2 linked regions of the Notamacropus eugenii genome follow. The protein of the gene in region 1 purifies or fractionates together with the protein of each later gene. This does not show direct contact. Links are inferred from orthologs where the notes say so. Each region holds a gene or a part of one and is shown in the gene's direction. Other genes may lie near its edges.

Region 1 (3,745 bases):
CATGCAATGAAGAACCCCCTAAGAATGAGGGTTTAACATGGTGGGGTACAGGGATTGCTTATATACATAAGTGAGCTGAACTATGAAATAATTATTCTTAGGTCTTGAGTAGCTGTTCCAGGATGCTTCATGCGTGGACAAGGTGTTCCTGGGTCCTGTGGGAACAGTCTCCAAGTTGATTGTCTCACAGTGGGGTACAGTACCTGGTTTGGTTCATTTAGCTGCTACAAGGAACAGGGATTGTGAACAAGTCAAGCAAAGTGATGGATGGATCTCAAGTCCCTGGGAAATAGGGAGCAGTGAACACCCAGTGCTAGTCAAAGCAATGCACTCTGTCAGAGGTTATCCAGAGTGCAAAGGATTGTTGTCATGCAGTGTACAGCCTGCTTGCTGGGTCTTATTTACCTCTGGAGAACAAGGTGCCTCCAAAATATTTTGACAGAATATGTTAATAGGGACAGCTATGGGGAAAGTGTTCTGGGTCTGGAGTCAGGAGGACTCATCTTCCTGAGTTCAAATCTGGTCTCAGACACTTACTAGCTGTGTAACCCTGGGCATGTCATTTAACCCTGTTTGTCTCAATTTTCTCATCTGTAAAATGGGCTAGAGTGGGCCATGGCAAAACTACTCCACAGTATCTTTGCCAAGAAAACCCCAAATGGGGTCACAAAGAGTGGAACACTAAACAATAACAAAACATATTTAGTAATAATAGCGCCTACTATGTGCCAGGCACTGTGTCAAGCGCTTTTACAAATGTTATCTCATTTCGTCCTCACCACAACCCTCGTGGTCTCTTCCACCCCCACCCCCTTTAAACTGTAAGCTCCTCCAGGGCAGGGACTTGCTTGGGGAGGGCAACTGGCAGAAATGACATGGGCAGCTCTTTCAGGCGTTTGCGCGTGAGTGAGATGGAGCCCCAACTCGGCGGTCTGAGCAGATGAGAGTGTCATTAGGATGTTTTTAAGGACGAAGGAGACTTGGGGGGGAGGGGCTGGAGGGGGAATGAATATTAGAGCGACCGCCGATGACCAAAGCTCCTTGGGGACTGCTTCATTCTTGCATTCATTCCCCAGCGCCTGTCACCTAGCAGGAGCTTCATCACTGGAAACCTAGCTCAGAGAATAAACGTCTGTGTGACCCTGGCCAAGTCACTTAACTTACCTCAGCTTCATCCGTAGCATAAGGACAATGGCACCCCCCTCACGAGGTACTCATGGGGAATTGGGGAGATAATATACCTAAAGTCCTTTGCACTTCTTCAAAGGCCACATAAATGCTATTATTGTTCATCAATACTTGTTGATTGATCCATGAGGGTCTGGAGCAGGAAGGTGCATCTCTCTCTATCAGAGAGTGAACGCAAGGAGTGGAGAATGGGGCGAATCCCGAAAAGCTCCATACTATTGGTCCCCTTTTGCGGCTTCCCTCCTCCCACACCAGTGATTTTTTTTAATGTCCTCGAGGGGGCGGGGAAGGGGCGGAGCAAGGAGGCCTCTGCCCCTTTAAGGTCACGACCAGGAGACGGCTGACCCGGGCGCCTCCCCGCCCCTTCCTCCTCCTTGGGTTCCCAGCTTCACCCGGGGCTCGCCGAGGCCCGAGCCCTCCCCAGCTTCAGGGCCACGTGACTCGGCCCCAGCCTCAGCAGCTCGGCCGCGGGGCTCCCTGTATTCCCGAGATTGGCTGCGGGCGTGACCATGACGGCCTGAGCTCACGGGGTAGGGGCGGCTCGTCCCGGCTGTGCGCTCGTCGCCTCTTCCCCCCCTTCCCGGCTCTTCTTGTCTTCGCTGTGCTGACTGTCTCCGGGTCTTCGCCGGGGTTCGCATGAGCTCTTCCCTGGCGGGGGAGCCCCCCGTGAGCATGTAAAGGGAAGGGGGGGCGAACGAACCAGTCCGCGGCCCCGGGCTGAGAGCGCCCCTAGCCCAGGCCACCCTCCCTTCCCCCATCGGCAGCGCGGGGCCGGGCCGGGAGGTCCGGCGGGAGAGGCCGCAGCAGAGCCGGCGAGCTCTCGGAAATCTCGCGCAGTCCCGCGAGAGGATAAGTTGAGGGAACATGGCGACGTCTAATCTGTTAAAGGTAAGAGCCCCACTCCTGCCATTCCTCACCGCCTCTCCGAGCTCGGCCACGGCGGCCCGCGCTGGGAAAGTAGCACGCCGGGATCCGGGGGCGGGTACTGTGCCGGATCCGACGACGGCGCCGGCAGTGACAGCGGTGATTGAGGGGACACTCTCCCCGGGCGCTGGGGGGAAGGGCCCTTGCTTCCCCCCCACCAGTTGCCGTGTGTCCGTGTGTCTGTGTCTGTGTGTGTAGCCGGCGGGTTCGTGGGGAGCCTTGCGATCACTCACCGGAACGCTCGTTTCGGGGACGTGGGGTACATTTCCTCTTTAGAGGGTCCCCCACTCCCCCAGCTGTCAAGGATTTAAGCCGTAGACGAGGAAGGTCTGAGGAAAGCCTGGGCTGTCGGATGCTGCTCCCATTCACCTCACCCCCTTTCCCCAAGCCAGACAGGATTTGTAGGACCCCCCCTCCAATTAGTTTGCAGGACCCTCCACCCCAATCCTTTCCTGTTTCCTTCCTCTGAAGATTTCAGGTTCTGCTCCTATGTTTCAGCTTCTTTAAGGACTTGAACTCTTGATACAACACAATAATAAGATGTTGGAGAATTTTTAGAAATCTCTTCTTTCTAAAGAAAGTAATTTTGTGCAAGGGTAAACTGTTTCAGTTTTTTTGGGTGTTTGACAGGGACAGTGTTGGAGGTAGGTCTCCATAAGCAGGCTAAGAGGGGATGCAAATGAATTGAAAGAGTCAGTGCATCCCCATGTTATTTTATAGTAATGTTAACATTGGAAACTTTTTACCTACATGGATTCAAAGCGGATGAGGAAACAGGCCTATATCAAGAAGTTAAGTGACTTGCCCAAGGTCACATAGTCCGTTTGAAGAGTAATAGAAGCTAACTTTTCACTCTGGGGCCTTTTCTTGTTTAGTACCCTGTATTTCTGATTAGTTTTGAAAGCTTGAATTTTTTCCTAATTTCATCCTCTCTATTTGAACTAGTCAATTATGTTCACTTCCCATGTCACAAATCACTTTTCTCGTATCAAATCATAGTACCAGTTAAATCAATTTTGTCTATATTTGATTACTTAAACATAACAATTTGACGTTTGAAGTCAAAACTGATTTGAACGTGGGTGATGGTTTGGGTACCATTTTCCATGTTGTGCAAACAATTTAAACTGGTGTGTGTGTGTGTATCTGTCTGTCTATCTATCTTCTTGTTTGTGTGTATTCCAAAGTCAATTTTTCTTTTGGGGAGGGAAAGGAATGCTGATTAGTATTGGCAAATTTCTTTTTTGGTGTCACTTGAGGCCCTTTTTAGTTTGAAAGCTTTTTCTCTGCTGAGATTCTTTTTTGCTTTTCAGCCTCTTTACTATTTAAGGCTTATGTTTTTATGTGTTATTTTTTTCTGTATGGAGAAGAGAATTAAGTGGTCAGTAGGGGATTTGTGCAGAATTCATCTAATTCATGCGACATTTATTAAACACTTACTGTGGCCTAAACCCTGTGCCTAGGTTCTAGGGGAAATTCCAAGCTTAAAATGGTCAGTAGTATCCCTAGAGCCAGGTGTTCTTGATCTTTTTTTGTATTATTTACCCCTTTTGGTCTATATCCCTTTTTCAGAATAGTGTTTTTAAATGCATAAAATAAAATGTTGGATTACAAATGAAAGCTAATTATATTG
Region 2 (3,745 bases), on another chromosome or scaffold:
ATCTCCTTTCCTGCAATAGATTTTGCATCCCCGGCCACTATCTCCAATTCTGTTTGAGAAGCTCAAATGGCACTGACTGACTGTGCTCAGCCACCTGAGCACAGGGCTCTGAACAGTAATCTCCTGTAGTGACAAGCCTTATGAGCTGTGGAAGATTACCAGCTATTCCAGGTCACAAGCAAGATATAGGATGTGCAGGAGGGGAGGGAGGGATGCAGAGTGAGGGCAGAATAAAACACAGCTGCCCTGGAACCCAGAAGGCATTGTGATACAGTCGAAAAAGCTCTGGGATTCAGGGATTTGAGCCTAATTCTCGCCTCCGAGGCCGATTAAATTTCTTATAATTCCAAGGGTCTCAGTTTCCTCATCTGGGAAATGAGGTGGTTGGACTAGATCTGAGGTCCCTTCCAGAGGCAGGTCTGTAGACCTGGCCAAGTCAGGTCAGAGAATGACACTTTTGATCCTTTCTTTGACTTTGTCTGCCTTTTTTTTTTTGGTGTGGGGGGAATGGAAAGTTTCAGTTTTCCCAGGGCTGAGGACACAGACGTTGGAAGGGGAGAGAGGAGAGGGAAAGTGAAAAGAGAAGAAAGAGAAATGAGGAGGGAGGGTGGGAAAGGAAAGGAGAGGAAAGGGCAGAGGAGGGGGGAGAGAAGAGGGAAGGGGAGGGAGACAATAAGAATATTGGTGGAAAAGAATGAAGTACTTTGACTTCGAAGACCGCGTGCGAACGAAGAAGCGCGGGGTTTTTAGTCAAGAGGAGGGTGGAAGGAAAATTGAGTGACGTTCGTCGCGGTGCGAGGCACTTCACAAACATGTGCCCCAGATCCTGACACTGACACAGACCCAGCCCCGGCAAAAGAGGAAGTTGCGTCTGAGCGTGGGGGAGGAGAGCAGGGAAGAGGGCGGGGCTTGGTCACTCACGGAAGTGACGTTAGACCGGGGCGGGGGGCAGCTTACGGCGGCGGCGCGCGGCTGGGCTCGCGCCGGGCTCCCCGGCCTGCGCTTCCCCCTCCTCCCCCGAGCCCCCGCCCCCTCCCTCCCCTTTGCTGCCTCCTCCTCCTCCTCCTCCCTCTTCTCCGCCCCCGCCTCCTCCTCCGCCTCCTCTTCCTCCTCCTCCTCGCCGCCGCCGCCGCGCTCCATGAAGCGGAGGCCGCAGCGGCCGTTGGCGCTGTCGCTCCCGCTCCCGGGGCCGCGGCGGGCGGGGCTCCGGCGGGGCCCAGCCTAGTCCCCTGCGGTCCCTCGCTCCGCGCCTCGCTCCCGCCTTCTCCGATGCAGGGGACCGAGCTCCGGGACGGCGAGGCGGCGGCGGCGGCGGCGGCGGCAGCGGCGGCCTCGTACCGCGTCCTGAGCCGCCTGCTGGGCTACGGAGAAGCGGCCTCGGAGCCGGCCCCGCCGCCGCTACCGCCGCCGGCCCCGGGCCATGGACCCCATCCGCCGCCCCCGGCCCAGAGCCCGCTCCCGCCGCCGCCGCCGCCCTTCCTGCCGAGGCCGGGACCCCGGAATTCCCGGCCGCCGCAGCTGATGGTGTTCCGCAACGTAGGGCGGCCGCCCGAGGAGGAGGAGGCGGCGGCGGCGGGAGCTGGGCCGGGGCCCTCGGAGCTGCTGTGCCCCCGGCACCGTTGCACCCTGGACCCCAAGGCCCTGCCGCCGGGGCTGGGGTTGGGGCTGGGCCTAGGGCTGGGGTTGGAGCGGGGCTGGGGCCCGGCGGCGGCGGCCGCGGCGGCCGCGGGGCTGGAGGCCCACCTGGCAGCTCTGGGGCTGGGGCCGGCCAGCAAGGTCCCGGGGCCCGCCGGGGGCAGCTGTCCGTGCGCCCCGCAGCCGCCCGCGCCGCAGCCCCCACCGCCCGCCGCGGCCCCGCAGGCGGGAGAGGACCCCACGGAGACGAGCGACGCGCTGCTAGTGCTGGAGGCGCTGGAGTCGGAGGCCGAGAGCCTGGAGACCAACAGCTGCTCGGAGGAGGAGCTCAGCAGCCCGGGCCGGGGGGCGGGCGGAGGAGGAGGCGGCGGCGGCGGCCGATCGGTGTCCCTGCAACCCCTGGCCCCGGAGCTGCCGCCCGCGCCCTTCCCGCTGCAGGACCTGGTGCCCCCGGGGCGGCCCTCCCGAGTGGAGCCCCCGCCGCCCCCGCAGCAGCAGCCCTCGGCGCCCCTCCGGCCGCCCCTGGGCACCTCCCGCAAGGGCTCGCTCAGAATCCGCCTCAGTCGCCTCTTCCGCACGAAGAGCTGTAACGGGGCCTCGGCCAACGGGGATGCGGCCGGCAAGAGGCCTCCGGGGGAGCTGGCTGCCTCCTCTGTGAGTCTCACCGACGTGGGAGGCCCCAGGGCCCGGGAGCCAGAGGCGGGGAGGTGAGCTTGCCGGCGGGGAAGGGGTGGGGGGCGCTGGTTGTCAGATACTGCCCTTGTCCCGCATACTCCTACCCCCTCCCCTTTTTCTCCCTTCTTTTCCTTTTCTCTCCCTCTTGTCTTCCTCCTCTCCCTTCTCTTCCCGCCTCTCTCTTCCTCCCTCTTTTCCCCCCTCTTTCTTTCCACCTTTTCTGTCCCCCTCTAAAACCTCTCTTCTCCCTCCTCTTCTCTCCCCTTTTGCCCCTCCTTCCCCTCTTTCTTCCTCTGCACCCCTCTTCCCTCCTCTATCTTTCTCTTTCCCCTCTTTTTTTCTTCAATCTCTCCCCCCTCTCCCTCTTTCTCTAACCCCTCTTGCTCCTTCCCCCATTCTTCCCCAAACTCCTTCCCTTCATCTTTCCTTATTCTTCCCCTTGTCCCTTTCTTTTCCCTTCTCCCCTTCTCCTTCCCCTAATAGGATCTTCTTGAGTTTCCAGGGACCATGTTGAAATAAATAAGACTGGAGGAATGGCACCTCCACTTACTCTTCGAGGACTTAGTGAATTTTATAACTGGTAGAGGAGTAGGTTCCGAAGTCTCCCCCACACTTAAGAATTCTCAGTTAACCTGACCTGGGTGCAGGACTCTTGAACGTAGGCTGATATGACCTGTTACTGGTCTTCACTTTCTATATAGTGCCTTTCATCCTTCCCCTCTGACTTCATGAGTAGCTTCTCATGAGTCAGATTTGTGGTCTTTTGGGATTAGGATTCAGATATTTCTCCCATTTCTTCAGAGGTATTTCCTAGTGTACTCTAGAGTTCACTTCCTTGGCTAATAGGGTCATAAGGCAGAGCAGTTTGAGTCCTCTTGAAACTGGAGCAGAACTTTAGTTTTAGAAACTTAAGTTCCCCAAGTGTATTATAAGGGATCCATGCTGTGTATTGCCAATCTAATTGTGGGCCAGTTGGTGAAAATTCTGGTTTAGAAAAGGACTTTAATTTTCTTCATTTCTGAATGGAGGTGGAATTTTCTGTTAAAGATGTAACTGACAACATTAGTACTGTAGTGCTGATTTAGAAGACTGGATAACTGGTTTCTATCTAGTGGCATTGCAGCTTCACTTGTGAAGACTGCTCTTACGGTTTCATTTCCTGAGTGTTACACACACACACACACACACACACACAGACACCCCCCCCCCCACCTCCCCCCCCCACCTTATGAGTGACATATTCCTGAAGAAGTCTCCATTGTACTGGCATAAGCCTGGGCCATATGGCAGTACCTAGAAGTGAAGAAGGTGGGATCGAGTCAATAGGTGGTGGTCGGAGCAGGCACCTGTATTTCACCGTTTGGTATTGTCTTCATTTTACTGAAGTTCATTTTTTTCTAGAAGATAGGAACGTAAGGTTGATTTGACTTTGCTG

What was found. The genes of interacting proteins can lie anywhere in the genome.
Region 2: the proteins of CUL5 (region 1) and SOCS7 purify together in Homo sapiens (affinity purification with mass spectrometry; 4 studies listed by BioGRID and IntAct, counting the BioPlex papers as one, with this or other methods). This does not show direct contact. The link is inferred for Notamacropus eugenii from reciprocal best matches to the Homo sapiens genes CUL5 and SOCS7.

Annotation. Positions count from the first base shown.
Region 1 is NC_092876.1:146,963,275-146,967,019, reverse strand, and holds the start of CUL5 (cullin-5), read left to right. Parts: upstream 1-1,558; 5' UTR 1,559-2,052; coding exon 2,053-2,076; intron 2,077-3,745. UniProt on the Homo sapiens protein: Core component of multiple cullin-5-RING E3 ubiquitin-protein ligase complexes (ECS complexes, also named CRL5 complexes), which mediate the ubiquitination and subsequent proteasomal degradation of target proteins.
Region 2 is NC_092873.1:353,876,190-353,879,934, forward strand, and holds the start of SOCS7 (suppressor of cytokine signaling 7), read left to right. Parts: upstream 1-1,065; 5' UTR 1,066-1,269; coding exon 1,270-2,342; intron 2,343-3,745. UniProt on the Homo sapiens protein: Substrate-recognition component of a cullin-5-RING E3 ubiquitin-protein ligase complex (ECS complex, also named CRL5 complex), which mediates the ubiquitination and subsequent proteasomal degradation of target proteins, such as DAB1 and IRS1.